Linked DNA regions of Drosophila melanogaster. The protein of the gene in region 1 interacts with the protein of each later gene in a pairwise test. Each region holds a gene or a part of one and is shown in the gene's direction. Other genes may lie near its edges.

What was found. Proteins that work in one complex are often made in the same cells at the same time.
Region 2: the proteins of synr (region 1) and Cpr64Ad interact in a two-hybrid assay, tested with the Drosophila melanogaster proteins (one large-scale study listed by BioGRID).

Annotation. Positions count from the first base shown.
Region 1 is NT_033779.5:4,939,398-4,947,188, forward strand, and holds synr (sayonara), read left to right. Parts: upstream 1-3,344; 5' UTR 3,345-3,454; coding exon 3,455-3,547; intron 3,548-3,613; coding exon 3,614-3,883; intron 3,884-3,950; coding exon 3,951-4,351; intron 4,352-4,405; coding exon 4,406-4,591; intron 4,592-4,650; coding exon 4,651-4,837; 3' UTR 4,838-4,903; downstream 4,904-7,791. Other genes in the region: Sgs1 (salivary gland secretion 1), read left to right, coding at 1-1,969; mRpL24 (mitochondrial ribosomal protein L24), read right to left, coding at 4,904-5,019, 5,078-5,467, 5,530-5,683, 5,795-5,878; betaggt-I (beta subunit of type I geranylgeranyl transferase), read left to right, coding at 6,507-6,616, 6,674-6,824, 7,510-7,791.
Region 2 is NT_037436.4:4,211,865-4,219,021, forward strand, and holds Cpr64Ad (cuticular protein 64Ad), read left to right. Parts: upstream 1-3,514; 5' UTR 3,515-3,585; coding exon 3,586-3,600; intron 3,601-3,675; coding exon 3,676-4,404; 3' UTR 4,405-4,550; downstream 4,551-7,157. Other genes in the region: CG43367 (uncharacterized protein), read left to right, coding at 4,720-4,863, 4,927-5,314, 5,373-5,541, 5,606-5,730, 5,793-6,100, 6,158-6,438, 6,500-6,851, 6,904-7,157; Cpr64Ac (cuticular protein 64Ac), read right to left, coding at 381-935, 998-1,009.

The DNA of each region.
Region 1 (7,791 bases):
CACAAGTGGCCCAACGACAACTACTCCTAGATCCACAACAACAACTTCCACAAGTGGCCCAACGACAACTACTCCTAGATCCACAACAACAACTTCCACAAGTGGCCCAACGACAACTACTCCTAGATCCACAACAACAACTTCCACAAGTGGCCCAACGACAACTACTCCTAGATCCACAACAACAACTTCCACAAGTGGCCCAACGACAACTACTCCTAGATCCACAACAACAACTTCCACAAGTGGCCCAACGACAACTACTCCTAGATCCACAACAACAACTTCCACAAGTGGCCCAACGACAACTACTCCTAGATCCACAACAACAACTTCCACAAGTGGCCCAACGACAACTACTCCTAGATCCACAACAACAACTTCCACAAGTGGCCCAACGACAACTACTCCTAGATCCACAACAACAACTTCCACAAGTGGCCCAACGACAACTACTCCTAGATCCACAACAACAACTTCCACAAGTGGCCCAACGACAACTACTCCTAGATCCACAACAACAACTTCCACAAGTGGCCCAACGACAACTACTCCTAGATCCACAACAACAACTTCCACAAGTGGCCCAACGACAACTACTCCTAGATCCACAACAACAACTTCCACAAGTGGCCCAACGACAACTACTCCTAGATCCACAACAACAACTTCCACAAGTGGCCCAACGACAACTACTCCTAGATCCACAACAACAACTTCCACAAGTGGCCCAACGACAACTACTCCTAGATCCACAACAACAACTTCCACAAGTGGCCCAACGACAACTACTCCTAGATCCACAACAACAACTTCCACAAGTGGCCCAACGACAACTACTCCTAGATCCACAACAACAACTTCCACAAGTTGCCCAACGACAACTACTCCTAGATCCACAACAACAACTTGCACAAGTGGCCCAACGACAACTACTCCTAGATCCACAACAACAACTTGCACAAGTTGCCCAACGACAACTACTCCTAGATCCACAACAACAACTTGCACAAGTTGCCCAACGACAACTACTCCTAGATCCACAACAACAACTTGCACAAGTGGCCCAACGACAACTACTCCTAGATCCACAACAAAAACCTCCACTTGTGCCCCAACGACAACTACTCCTAGATCCACAACAACAACTTCCACAAGTCGCCCAACGACAACTACTCCTAGATCCACAACAACAACTACCACAAGTCGCCCAACGACGACTACTCCTAGATCCACAACAACACCTTCCACAAGTCGCCCAACCACAACTACTCCTAGATCCACAACAACTACTTCCACAAGTCGCCCAACGACAACTACTCCTAGATCCACAACAAAAACTTCCACTTGTGCCCCAACGACAACTACTCCTAGATCCACAACAACAACTACCACAAGTCGCCCAACGACAACTACTCCTAGATCCACAACAACAACTACCACAAGTCGCCCAACGACAACTACTCCTAGATCCACAACAACACCTTGCACAAGTCGCCCAACCACAACTACTCCTAGATCCACAACAACAACTACCACAAGTCGCCCAACGACAACTACTCCTAGATCCACAACAACACCTTGTCCAACTACAACACCATCTGCAAGTCCTACAAGAACAACAACAACCCGTCGTCCTTGCCCTTGCCATCCCCAGCCTCCTTACCAGATTCCTCCTTGGTCATGGTGGTATCCGAACCCGACCTACCCCAATCCCGTGTGGCCCTGGCAACCTAACCCAGTCGTTCCTCAATGGCCACAGATGCCCGGATATCCAAATCAGTGGCCACAATTACCAGGTTATCCCCAGCAATTACCACCGCCGTTGCCATCACCTCAGTGGCCGTGGTCTTGGCCAAAACCACCAGTAGTTCAACCTGGCGACTGTGAAAACATATGCGAAAACCTACTGAAGGGAGTAAAATATCAAGAAGATCTCATCAGAAGGTGCTTGTGCACACGAACATAATCCTTTAAAAAAGAATCACGTAATTGTTTTATTAAAATGTTGTCTATTTAAAAAAATAACTTAAAACAAAGTTTTGATGGTTAAAAATATCGAACGGGTATGGTATGGATGTAGGTTTGATGATATTGAATGGCAAGTCTATCCTTCAGAAGTGGGAGGAAGGATTATGGATGTCACAATGGCGCATGCGCCTATATGGTTTTTGGATTCCCATGTTTTGCTTAACACTTTCGTCCCTGAGAAGCTCAGAAAGCTTGGGCGCCATTCATCAACAAGTTTGCATTCGGACTTCAGCACTCTAATCGACACTTGACTACATTATTACTTATTTAAACGCAATCATTTGACCCATTATTTTCCGACGCCTTTGCGTTTGGTTGCACTGCATTGCTCATGCGACATATGGTCGCACTATATGTTTGGAGCACACATTCGGACAAGTTTAATGACCAATTGCCAAGGGATTGGAGAACTCACTGCTCTTCGAATTAGGTTAGCACATTAGCTGGTTAAGGACAAACGTGGATTGAAGTTAGGATGGGGAGAGAAACAGGAAAACTTAACGAGTTCTAGCATATGATAATGTGTACAGCCATAAACTTATAGCTAACATCGTAATCCGTGCACAAGCTATTAAAAACTTCAAGAAGATATGTCCCTAAATTTTTCCAATAGTAATAAATATATAACCAAATTTACTCTCTCTGTAGGGCATACTACAATCCTAATAAGCTATAAACACTCCAGAGCAGAGCCTCTAATTTGCTGGTAATTTATCAAAATCTAGATTATAATCCTGCTGATGGATTATGTTTCGGGTCGATTAGTACCCCAGTTATAGGACTACTAGAGTTCGTCCTTCGTTCAGCTGAGCTTGCACATTTCCTACACAATAAGCAGATGTTAATGGCTCCCTTCTTTGTTGTTTTTGTTAACTTGTTAATACAAATACACCGTGTGCCAATTCACAAATCCAACAAGGTATAGTGGACATGCCAACAAAAAAGCTAGCAAAGCAAATAACACATTGTTGACAAACAGCGGGCTATTGGGGTGAACCTTCAAAAATCTATTGAACAAAAGTATTACTCGTCATATGTATTGTAGCATTTTAATTAAGGAAACATGTATTTTAATCAATATAACTTAAACTTAAAGATAGTAATGGTTGCACATGTCGTATGCGCAATTTTCATGAAGAGTGGTCCGCTCTAAAGGACACATACGTGGTAACAAGGGGGCTACGCTGGCCCCTGTCCCCACCTCCCGAAATGGTTTGTGGGTGGATTTGGTGTGGCCCTGTCCAATGGCTAGCGCGCAAAAATAATTTTTGTTATTGTGTTTTCCCTCATAAGTGGACATGACGGACCCAACGAAAGCTCATTCAGCGCTGGACAGGCGAACTGGAAAGGTCTAAGACGGAAGATGTCATCGCCGGCAGAGCGGGCGAACTTCGTGCAGCACTTCGGACAGACAACCTGAGTGATGGGCTGTGGCTCCTCCATGGATACGCAGACGAATCCTGTCGTCACGGAGGTCAGCTCGGAAATGCAACCTCGCCAGAATGGCGCCTCTGGAGTAATAGCACTTGAACAAGTCGTCTTACCTTTGCCATAATCAATACCTCTTCCATTTCGTCATCAGAATGTGGTCGAGCAATATGTGCGCCTGGACGAGCAGATCAGCAAGCTGGAGGGCACATGTCCTGGTCCTCGAATGGCCACCGCCGAGGCCTGGGTGGAGCACATTCAGAGCAAGCACGAGGCGATGCTGGGACTCGATGGCATGGGAGTGTCTCCTTTGCGCGAGAGGGAATGGGAAACCGAGGAGGCCCTGCCCATTCCAGCTTACACAATGGGGGGGCGGCAGGGCGACCCAATTGTGGCCAACACGCCCACCAAGGACCTGGCCCAGGTAAATGGCCTGCCATTAGTGAATGTGATGAACTTCCCTCAAGTATATTATTACCATTCGACTTTAGCTTGCCTACAACCTGGGCGTAATTGGCGATGCCCGCAAGGCTTCCATGCACGAGGATTTCTTCGCCAACCTGAGCGAGTCCGCCATGTATTTGCTTAGCATTCGTTACTACGGCGAGATGTTGGAACACACTAAGGTGCGTCTAAAGACTCTGGCCGAGAGCTATGCAGAGCTGAACGAGCTGTACGTAAAGCAAGACGGGATTATAGCGTATATAAGCGGGGGAACGTACATGACTCGGCTGGAGGAGAGCATTGATGAGCAGCTTGAGACGGCAAGAGATACAAGGGATAAGCTGGGCAGCGCACTGGAGCAGTGGCGCATCTGTGGATTACTACTTAGAGCAGCCGCGAATTCCTCGACGCAGGCATTAAAACAATGGCGACAGCTTGGACGGATAATGTGGGTAAATTAATTCCCCACTTAGAACTTGTTGACATGTTATTTCTCGTTCAGAGATCCCAAGCAAAAGCTTCAGTGGGCGTTGGACTGTCGAAGTCTGTTACACGCCTCCACGATATCCCTAGAGGCGGCTCAGCTGGCTCTGCCGCACGTGGAACTCAAGTACATGAGTCATCGGCAAGTCCTAGCCGTCAAGCACTGCAACACCTACCTAATCACGGATATAGCAAACAAAGCGCGGTAAGTTAATATATAGATTTCTCTAGAATCTTCTACAAAGGGAAACGAATCCCTTTTAGGTACGAGCACACCAGTCGGGTCTTCACCAGTTACGAATCAAACATGTCCAAAACCTGCACGTGGCTCTACGAAACCTTTAACAGCACGCTGCGCCCAGACTACGACAGGGCGGAGGAAACTGTATGCGGGCTGGCCAAGACGCTCCGGGATCATCGCGAGGAGGTCTTCAACACGGTGCGCAAGTGACATTAAACTTATTGCTCAATTATATGGGTATTTTGTACATTACTTTAATAAACAGTAGGCATAACATTAGTACCAATAGCTCTTGACTGGCGTGCGTTCCTCTTTGATGCCCATTTCCTCCATAATGTCCATCTCGAATGTGGACAACTTGGGCTGAAAGGTGATCTCGCCCACAACAGCGCCTGAAAAGGACAGACTTGTATGACTAGGAACATATTGAAATGCGATAATAGCCCATACCTGGCGTATCCTTCTCCCTTTCGATATAGGCGTTTGGTGTTTTATAATCGTGCGTCTGGTTGTTCGTCTCCGGGATGGGTATGATTCGGCCAGATCGCAAGGACACCCGCACTTTCTCGCCCTCCTCCGTGAAACGCCACTCAAAGTCGGTGCCCTGAAGATCCGATGGGTCAACCAGACGAATGTCCTTGGTGACGTGCAAAGGTGCCTCGGACTTGATAATGATACCGGGAAACTCCTTCTCACCGCCAACCTTGCGATAGTGCCAGTTCAGGCCCTCTACAATTACCCAATTGCGCTCGGGTATAACCTGGGTGACAATTCCCTGCTTTCCTTTGTCTTTACCCACAAGGACTTCGATACGATCGCCGCGGAAAAAGCTCCAGTCCTCTGAAAAGGATATACAACCATGTTTTATTAGGTTTTAGAGGTCAAGGCTTCTTATTCCTTACCAATTGGTTCCACTAGCACCTTGCGACGCACGGTTCCGGGCATATTTTGCTGGCGGAACTGACCCGTCCATGAACGATTTGTGGTGTAGCGGAATCTCTTTCGCTCCACGGTACGCGGTAGGTAATTAATCTCCTTCGGAGTTTGCCAGTACACCTGTGTTGAGATGAAAAAAAATATTTTAATAAATGTGAAACATTTTCCATGCGATGTGTTACGTGAGCCGCTGTTCACAAGTTGTTCAATGAAAAAGACTCTTCCTGTTACCTGTTTTTTGCTGCGCTCGATGTATTCCTTGGGCAGATTGGAAAAGTTCTTCAACTTGCTGGCCAAATATTGCGTTAAACGCATTTTGAAAGGTTAATTCAATTATTAATAATAAGAACTAGTAAATTAAATGCGGCTTGCAATCAGCTGTTGAGAACTGAAGAATAGCCATTCACAGGAAGGCCCAACAATTTTATTTATATTTAATGTTTATGCGACTCTAAAGATTATGAACACTTGATGTAGGCTTGTAAAATATTTAAATTAATTATTTTCGAGGTTTAAGAAAATATCTTAGCTTATATATTGTTAAACATTATGATATAGAAATTTAAGAACTAGCAATTATTTCCCCGTGTAAACGTGGTTCGCTGTGACTGGCAAGAAGAGGTAAGAAGAAGCAGCTGCTATTTGTGGACTACTCTTGGTGTTTTATATCGTTCGCCGTAGCCCTAAATTGCAATGCAAACCGGCTTTATATAAACAAAAGGTAAGTGCTAGACCATATAAATGTGGGCACGTGCGGGCGCAACATCATTGGAAGACGGAATCGCAACCGGAGAGCGTCTATTCCGGCCAGCTCAGTCCAACCGTTTGGGAAGGGCCTTTCAACGCTTAGTCATATCCATATCTCAGCGCACACCGAGACAATCCAGTTCCTACCCACCCATAAGTTCCTCATTTAACAAGCAATATGTCCCACCACATAGATATGGAAGACCGCACTGATACGGAGCCCGTGCTGCTCTCCAAGCACGCCAAGAATCTGCTCCGATTCCTTAATCTCCTGCCAGCTCGCATGGCCTCGCACGATAACACCAGGTAAGTGCATCCTGGCCTCGTATTTAACTTTTGGTTAACCATTTCCTTGTCCATCAGGAGCACCATTGTGTTCTTCGCCGTCTGCGGCCTGGATGTGCTAAACTCATTGCATCTGGTGCCGCCACAACTGAGGCAGGACATCATTGACTGGATCTACGGAGGATTGGTAGTGCCACGCGACAACGAGAAAAACTGCGGCGGTTTCATGGTGAGCATAAATTCGCGTCTGTCAGGTGTACAAACAGTCGTTGACAAGCCAAACAGAACCATCTTCCGCTCCCACATCCACTCCCAATCAAGTTCCTTATCTCCATACGTGGCCAGGTAGCAGACACTGCGGCAGACGTTGTCGCATCCCTTACATATTGGTGTTTATTCAGTCAGTTGATATACGAGCATTCGCATTTCCTTCATTGAGAAGCATCCACGAAGTAAATATTTTGAAAGATTCATTTCCAACAAAAAAAGTATGCAATTCTTTATTAGCATTTATGAAGTTTGTTTTTGTTAAAAATATCTAAGAAGCCACGTCTTGTTTCCCCATCATGCATCACATATTTCATGATTCCAGACCCTTTAGTTTAAATTACAAATCTAAATTTTGTTTTTAAATAATTGGATTCTAATGAAAACCCATTAAATTGTTAATTCCAAGGTCAACGCATCTGCTTTACATAAAAAGCAAAACGGCATTACTTCTGTTACGATCTATACTGTTTAAATATGCATAATTGTAGAGGAGTTCTCCATTTGCGCAGCAGCTCGATTTACCATTACCCACCACACCCCACCCACCGACACCTTGAATTTATCGCGCCACGCTTTATCAGCGACGCCAGCAACATGCAAAACCACTTTAAAATAGATTGATTAATTAATTGGTATCTTTGCAGGGCTGCCGCGCCATGGTGCCCAAAACCGAGGACGCCGAGATCTTGGAGTGCATGCGGAATTACCAGTGGGGCCACTTGGCCATGACGTACACCAGTCTCGCAGTGCTGGTCACCCTGGGCGATGATTTGTCCCGACTGGATCGGAAAAGCATTGTGGACGGAGTGGCTGCTGTTCAGAAGCCTGAGGGCAGTTTTAGCGCCTGCATCGATGGCAGCGAGGATGATATGCGATTTGTTTATTGTGCCGCCACCATATGCTACATGCTGGACTACTGGGGCGAT
Region 2 (7,157 bases), on another chromosome or scaffold:
TGTGGAGCATTCCTAGAAATATTTCAACTTTTCGAATATCACTTCCAACCGATCAGTTCCATCGAACAACTAATAACAATTCATTCAATCTTTTTTTTTGTACCGAAACTTTTATTCAGTAAATGCAGTTACTAATTCACTAAGTGGCCGATAGCCGTTCCCCAGATCCCCAGAACGGTATCCCTAAACGTAGTCTATGGTGGCGATCCTTCGATCGGAGATTGGGAATGTGGGTCAACAGCGGGGTGGCAACAGCACGCACGTCCTTGTGTTTCGGGTTTTGACTGACAGAAAAGTGGGTAAATGCATTAGAACTATTTAACAACGGTCCTACAACTAGGCCATGGAGTTTGTCATCGCTTGGTCCACCGGTTCATCGCCTAGTGGTATCCACCCAGACTCAGACCAGGCGCCGAAGCGTATCCAATCTTGGTGATGGCGGGAACGGCGGCGACGGCAAGAGCTGGCTTGGCAATGGCCACCGCGGCCACGCCCTTCTTCTCCACGACCGCATTGAATCCGTTGACCTTGTCGGCGGTGTAGGTGACCTTGCGAATAGTGCCATCGGGTTCGGCCAGGGAGTAGCTGCCGTGGACGACTCCGTTGACCAGGGTCTCCTCCTGCTGCTTGGAGTCACCGGTGTGATGATCGGTTACTCCGTACGAGAAGCTGTACTGCGGATTGGGATCGTAGGGCTCGGCAACAGCCACCTTGGCCACAGCGACGGGGGCAGCCAGGACCTTGGGAGCATAGGAGATGGCAGGAGCGGCATACGAGATGGCAGGAGCCGCCAGGAGTTTGGGAGCAGCATAGGAAATGGCAGGAGCAGCAAGCAACTTGGGAGCCGCATAGGTGAGTCCAGGGGCCGAAAGTCCATAGGGATCAATGGGAATGGCCACAACGGCGGACAGGATCAGTCCCAAAACGAACAGAGTCTGGCGAGGAATTCCATGATCAGTTGAGCCAACTAAAAGCTGCACTCCTTTGGCCAACTCACCTGGGCAATCATGGCGAAGGATGTGAGAATGAGGGAGCTCTGGTTTGGATGTGTCTGCACTGCGAGAACTCAGCTCAAATGTGAGATGCATTTTCCGCGTGGTCTTCAGTTTTATATTCGAAACTGGCGGCAGCTGCCAGCGGAAAAAAAAACTGGACAATCTAATGGGCAGAGTGACAATTGCGTCTCATTTGGTGGCTGCCCGATCTCGATCTCGATCTTGCACCCCAGACCTCATCGCTGATGGCGGATTTCGTGTTTCTGGTGCGGATTTCATCATTGGTGCTGGCTTTTCTCAATGGAATAACTGCAGCCGCCGCTGCCGAGGCACACCACTCACCGAAGTCCATTTGAGTCCGTTCAAGAGCGCCGCTCCAAGATACCCAGCTAGTCAGCTACCAGCAACACCAGACTCGTTTTCCGCTGACTCGCTGGCCGATCTGGTTTCATTTTTTCGCCGTTTTTTGGCACATTCTCAGGTTCTCCAGCCAAAATTTGTCTGATGTAATAAGTGCCTCATATTGTGGCAGTTTCAGTTGCAGTTGCCACAAGAACAGTGACAGTGCTTTTTTAGCGATTGTAGGTACCCTTTCAAGAAAAATCTTTAATATCATCAAAGACCTAATGAAAATATGTATTTACTCTCAATTTTCTGAAAATGTATGAAACCAAGATTACAATTGGATATGTAAACACTCATTTGGCGAACATACTTCAATCAATATTTGAATATGTAATTGAAATGCCTGCTGTTAAGTTATGCCGATTATCACTCACACGCCATGTTGTCCAAACGCAAGCAAATTTCGCTTGGTTTGCGTGACGTGCGAGTAATCTTCATAGTAACATACATGTCCAATGTGCCCACCCAAAGTGCAGGGTATAAAAACAAGATCAATCGTTCGCAGCCACTCGTTTAATTAGAAAACGAAAATGGCAAGTTTCGACGGCTTGGTGGAGGGAATGGAATTGGGCGGGACGCAGGCGCAATTACGCACTGGCACACGCATTAACCCCTCGACGATCCGATTTCCACCTGACCAACTGGACCAGCGCCCACATTGCTGAGCCCGGTCACTTAGCCACCGTAATTGCCTCGATCGGGCCAAAAAGCATTTAGCCGGCATTTGGAAGCTCTAACCGCGGCGACCTTGCTCACAATTGGCAGCTAAGTGGCTGTGGTTAGTATTTCATCCACTTTTAATTAATTCTCATCTCAGAGCAGAGTCAAGCGATTGGGCAAGGAACTGCATAAATGGCAGTGGAGCATTCCATTCGCTTTGGCCAAATTGGACGACTGTATATCCATGCTGGTTTCCGGTGGCGACAATCTACGCCGACAACCGTTAGTCAGCTACCACAACCCGACGAGTAATACCACCATTTGGTGCCAACTTTTGGGGCTCTCTCCGCTTCTCCGGATCGCTCAGCGTCTCTCCGAGGTGAATCCGCAGCCAACGAGTCGCAAGGTCGTTGGTTGCATTTAGGAAAAGAGTCACGAACTCAAAACCAGCCACCAGTTACAGCACGAAATCGATGGGGAATCTTTAATCAACCATGGAGTTAGGCAAATTCCAAAAGACCAGAGATTCTTGTTGTTACTGAAGATATTTGTTAGGAAAGCATGTTAAATTTAAAATAAGATTTATCCTTTTCAGCAAAGTCGTTTAGGGGAGGAACTAAAAATCTCCTTATGGAAACATAAACCAAATGCATGGCCATTTATTAGAATAATATCAATATAATTGATGTATCAAATGTTGATAATCTTTCAATAGATTTACAATAGTAATATATGGGTATATAGTATATATATTAGTCTAATCGATATTACTGGGCCACATTGACCCAGTTTCACCTTGTTAAGTGAAACCGAACCCCTTGTGAAAACCCTTATTATGTATAAGTGGTAACTCATTAGCATAAGTAATTGATACCCAATAAGGTGTATAAGAAACTTTCCAATTTATTTGAGACAACCAATTCAAGTAGTACATCAAAATCAGGATCATTACACTCTAAAGATACTTTTTTATCCCAGAGATATATTAATATTAAGTTTTTGAGCTTGAACCCTTGTCAACTCGACGTCATTATGGTAACTTAATTATAAGTTTCGCGCTTTTGGTGTAAAGGAAAATTAAAAGCACTGTCATTGGATGGAACCTGCATGACAATTACCGAAAACTACTGCTCCGAAATATAATCAAATCGCATTCACTTTCGATCCGAACAAGGCAAAAACAGTGGCAAATAAAAATGAAAACTTGGTGTAGCCACCGCAAGACGACTGAAAATTGGAGTACGTGCTGCGAATTTGGATCAAAGCCCGAGACGCAGACGCAGCCAAATGCTGGGTAGGAAGAGGCGGCCCCAAAAAGCGGCGATGGTGATGATGCGGGGGGCAAGGAGCTCGGACAATGGGCTACCATACGCAATTGGTACGCAGTTCCCTCCACGGAGCACCGCATGCAAATTTCGCGAACGCATCTGGGTATAAAAGTCGTGGTTTTTTTGTCCAAGGTATGTCAGTTCATTTTCGATAACCGACGGTGACAATCGCACTAAACCCCCACCCAAGCCTTACAATGAATCCTCTGACGGTAAGTGTTGGTGATGGCTTCGGTGAACCCGTCAGGTCAGGAGACTAAACTGGACTCCATGCATTTTCCTCACAGGTTGTTGCAGTCCTTTCCTCGATGGCCCTCTCGGCTCAGGCTGGTCTGGTTGGCGCTCCTCTGGCCGCCGCTCCTCTGGGTGCTCCTCTGGCTTACTCCGCCCCTCTGGGACCTGCTCCATACTTCGCCCCGGCTGCGTACTCCGCCCCTCTGGGCTACGCGGCTCCTTTGGGATACAACGCCCCTCTGGTGGCGGGACCTGCTCCCCTGGTGTCCAAGACCTACGCTGCCGCTCCTTTCGCCGCTCCCTTCGCTGCTCCAGTTGCCCCAGTTGCTGCTCGCCTGGCTGCCCCAGTCGCCGCTCCTCTCGCTGCCCCAGTTGCTCCAGTAGCCGCTCCCCTGGCTGCTCCAGTTGCTGCTCCCCTGGCTGCTCCAGTTGCTGCTCCCATCGCCACCGAGATCGTGGATGCCCACCCACAGTACAAGTTCGCCTACGATGTCCAGGATACGCTAACCGGTGACTCCAAGACCCAGGAGGAGACTCGTGATGGTGATGTCGTCCGTGGATCCTACTCTCTGATCGAGCCCGATGGTTCCCGTCGTATTGTCAGCTACTACGCCGACTCCATCAACGGTTTCAACGCAGTGGTGCAGAAGGATGTGCCCGTGGCTGTTGCCCCAGTGGCTCCAGTTTTGGCCAAGACCGTGGCTGCTCCAGTGGCTCCAGTTGTGGCTGCTGCCCCCGCTCCAGTCTTCGCCAAGACCCTGGCCGCTCCCATCGTCGCCTAAGTAGAAGGAGGAGAAGTAGGAGTCGTAAAGGAAGTATTGACCGCAATTCGACAAAGGACTTTCATCTGTACATATTCGATTAATCATTGTCGAGCTATTGAATAACTTTCATCGCAAAAACCCAAAATTAAAGAAATTCTGAAAACAAAAGATTGTAGTTTATTGTTTAAAGGCATCCTGGATTACGAGAGTGATATCATATAGAGGCTTAAGAAAATTATTTAAGTATTTTAGCTTTAATATTTATAGGTAATATTTATATGTATCATTCTTTATATTTTAAGGATTACACTTAAAACTTGGTGTTCTTTTTAGGGAAGTGGATGAAGAGTTCTGGAAGCTTTCGCAACATGAGAACGTGGCCAGGATGCGTCTGAAATTGGAGCCTCAGTTATATCCAAATAAACACGAGAATGCCGCCAATCTGCGCGACAATGCGACCAGTGCCTACGACACCAAGTAAGCCCAGCCAGTCCTTAGTAGTGTCCTTCATAATCTGATTTTCAATATCCTTTATCTTAGGGAAATCTCTGAATTTGACTCCACCATCAAGAATGCCGTGGTGCGCGATTTCCTGGCGGATGACGAAAGTTCCCAGCTGGAGGAGGAACTACGTCAACTGATCGACACGCAAGCGCAACAGGATGTGGCGCTGGAGAAGCTAGTCATGTCACAGGACTGTGAGCTGATCACGCTGATGACCAAGGTGAAGGGACGCATTGAGGTTAACCAGAGCGTGTTCACCTTTGTGGACTTGAGCCCGCCAACAGAGGATGGTTCCAAATACGATTTCAGGTTCTCCACCAACAAGATACGTGAGGTTCATCTGCGAAAGTACAATCTGCGCAGGAGTGCTTTGGAAATCTTCCTGGTGGATCAGACTAGCTACTTCCTCAACTTTACGACGAAGGTGAGTTTTTTTTTTGTAAATAAAATGTGATCATTGCAAATGTTCTTATTTCTTTAAGACTCGAAATAAAGTTTTCACAAAAATCGTGGGTCTACCGCTTCCAAACATACTCTACGGCTCGGGAAGATCGCCGGCTGAGCTGCTTAGGGCCTCGGGACTCACACAGAGATGGATCAATCGTGAGATTTCCAACTTTGAATACTTGATGTACCTAAACACAATCGCAGGTAAGCAAATAACATCTGATTATTACATACATTTTTATCAAACTAACGTATTTTACATAACTAGGTCGATCCTACAATGATCTAAGCCAATACCCCGTCTTCCCCTGGATCCTTGCTGATTACACCAGTGACGTGCTGGATCTTACCGATCCAAAATCGTTCCGTGACCTATCCAAACCCATTGGATGCGTAAGTATTACTGAAAATAGAAAAAGGTGATCAGTTACATGACAAACGCATTTCTACCGCAGATAAATCCTAAAAACGAGGCCGAAGTGCGCGGCAAATATGATTCATTCGAGGACCCCTCTGGTGCCATACCAAAGTTTCACTACGGAACCCACTACTCCAACTCGGCCGGCGTGCTCCACTATTTGCTTCGCGTCGAACCGTTCACCTCGCTGCACATTGATCTGCAGAGCGGTCGTTTCGATGTGGCCGATCGACAATTCCACTCGATACCTCAGACGTGGAAGTTGCTAATGGACAATCCCAATGACGTGAAGGAGCTGATCCCCGAGTTCTTTTACTTCCCAGAATTCCTTAAGAACATGAATAAGTAATGCATGTGGTTTTTTACTTTTACTTAGTTAGCCTAATGTTATTTTATGTGCAGATTTGATTTGGGCCACTTACAAATAACCAAAGAAAAGGTGGACGATGTCATATTGCCTGCTTGGGCTACCACGCCGGAGGAGTTCATAGCCATACACCGACGGGCTTTGGAATCGGAGTATGTCAGTCAGCATCTGCACCACTGGATTGATCTGATCTTTGGGTATAAGCAAAAGGGACCCAAGGCAGCTGAGGCTCTAAACGTTTTCTATTATTGCTCCTATGAAGGCGCTGTGGATTTGGACAAGATCACCAACCCTGTAGAACGGGAGGCGGTTGAAGGTGGCTTACACCAAGACTTTTTTTTTTGCTATTTTTATTGACATCCATTCATTTATATTAGGAATGATTAATAACTTTGGCCAAGTGCCTTCACAGCTGCTGCGGGAGCCACATCCACGACGCCTTACTCAGGATGAGACGGCTCTAAAGCTGGTACGTGCTGAGCTCCGAAGGCCGGATCTTACTCAGTTCCTGGACAAGGTGGTGCAGTACTACTGCGAGCTGTCCACGCCCAAGGATCCCATTGTGTACCTGAGTCCACCGCGAAGTCCTCCGCGATCGTTCCTGCAGCTGAGTCCCGATGTTCTAGTCAGCATATCGAAGTCCACCATATTGGGCTGCAATTCGTGGCTATCGTTTGATAAGGATCAGGGATTCCTGCTGGAAATCGATGCCACAACGGCTAATCTAAAGTATGTTTAAAGATTTAGCAAATCGGTCATATTAATGTACATATCTTTAAAGGAACCGCAAGCGGATCTTTGGACCCTTCCACTCGTCACAGCAACCGCATTCACAGCTCTTTGCGGTGAGCACGGATGGTAAGCTGCTCTATGCCGGTGGAATCTGGGATAACTCCTTAAGGGTGTACAATCTGAACAAGGGCAAGGCGGTGGCTTCGGTGACCCGCCACCTGGACATTATCACCTGCATAGCACTGGACAATTGCGGCTCGTACCTGGTCACCGGCTCGCGTGATTGCACCTGTATTGTGTGGA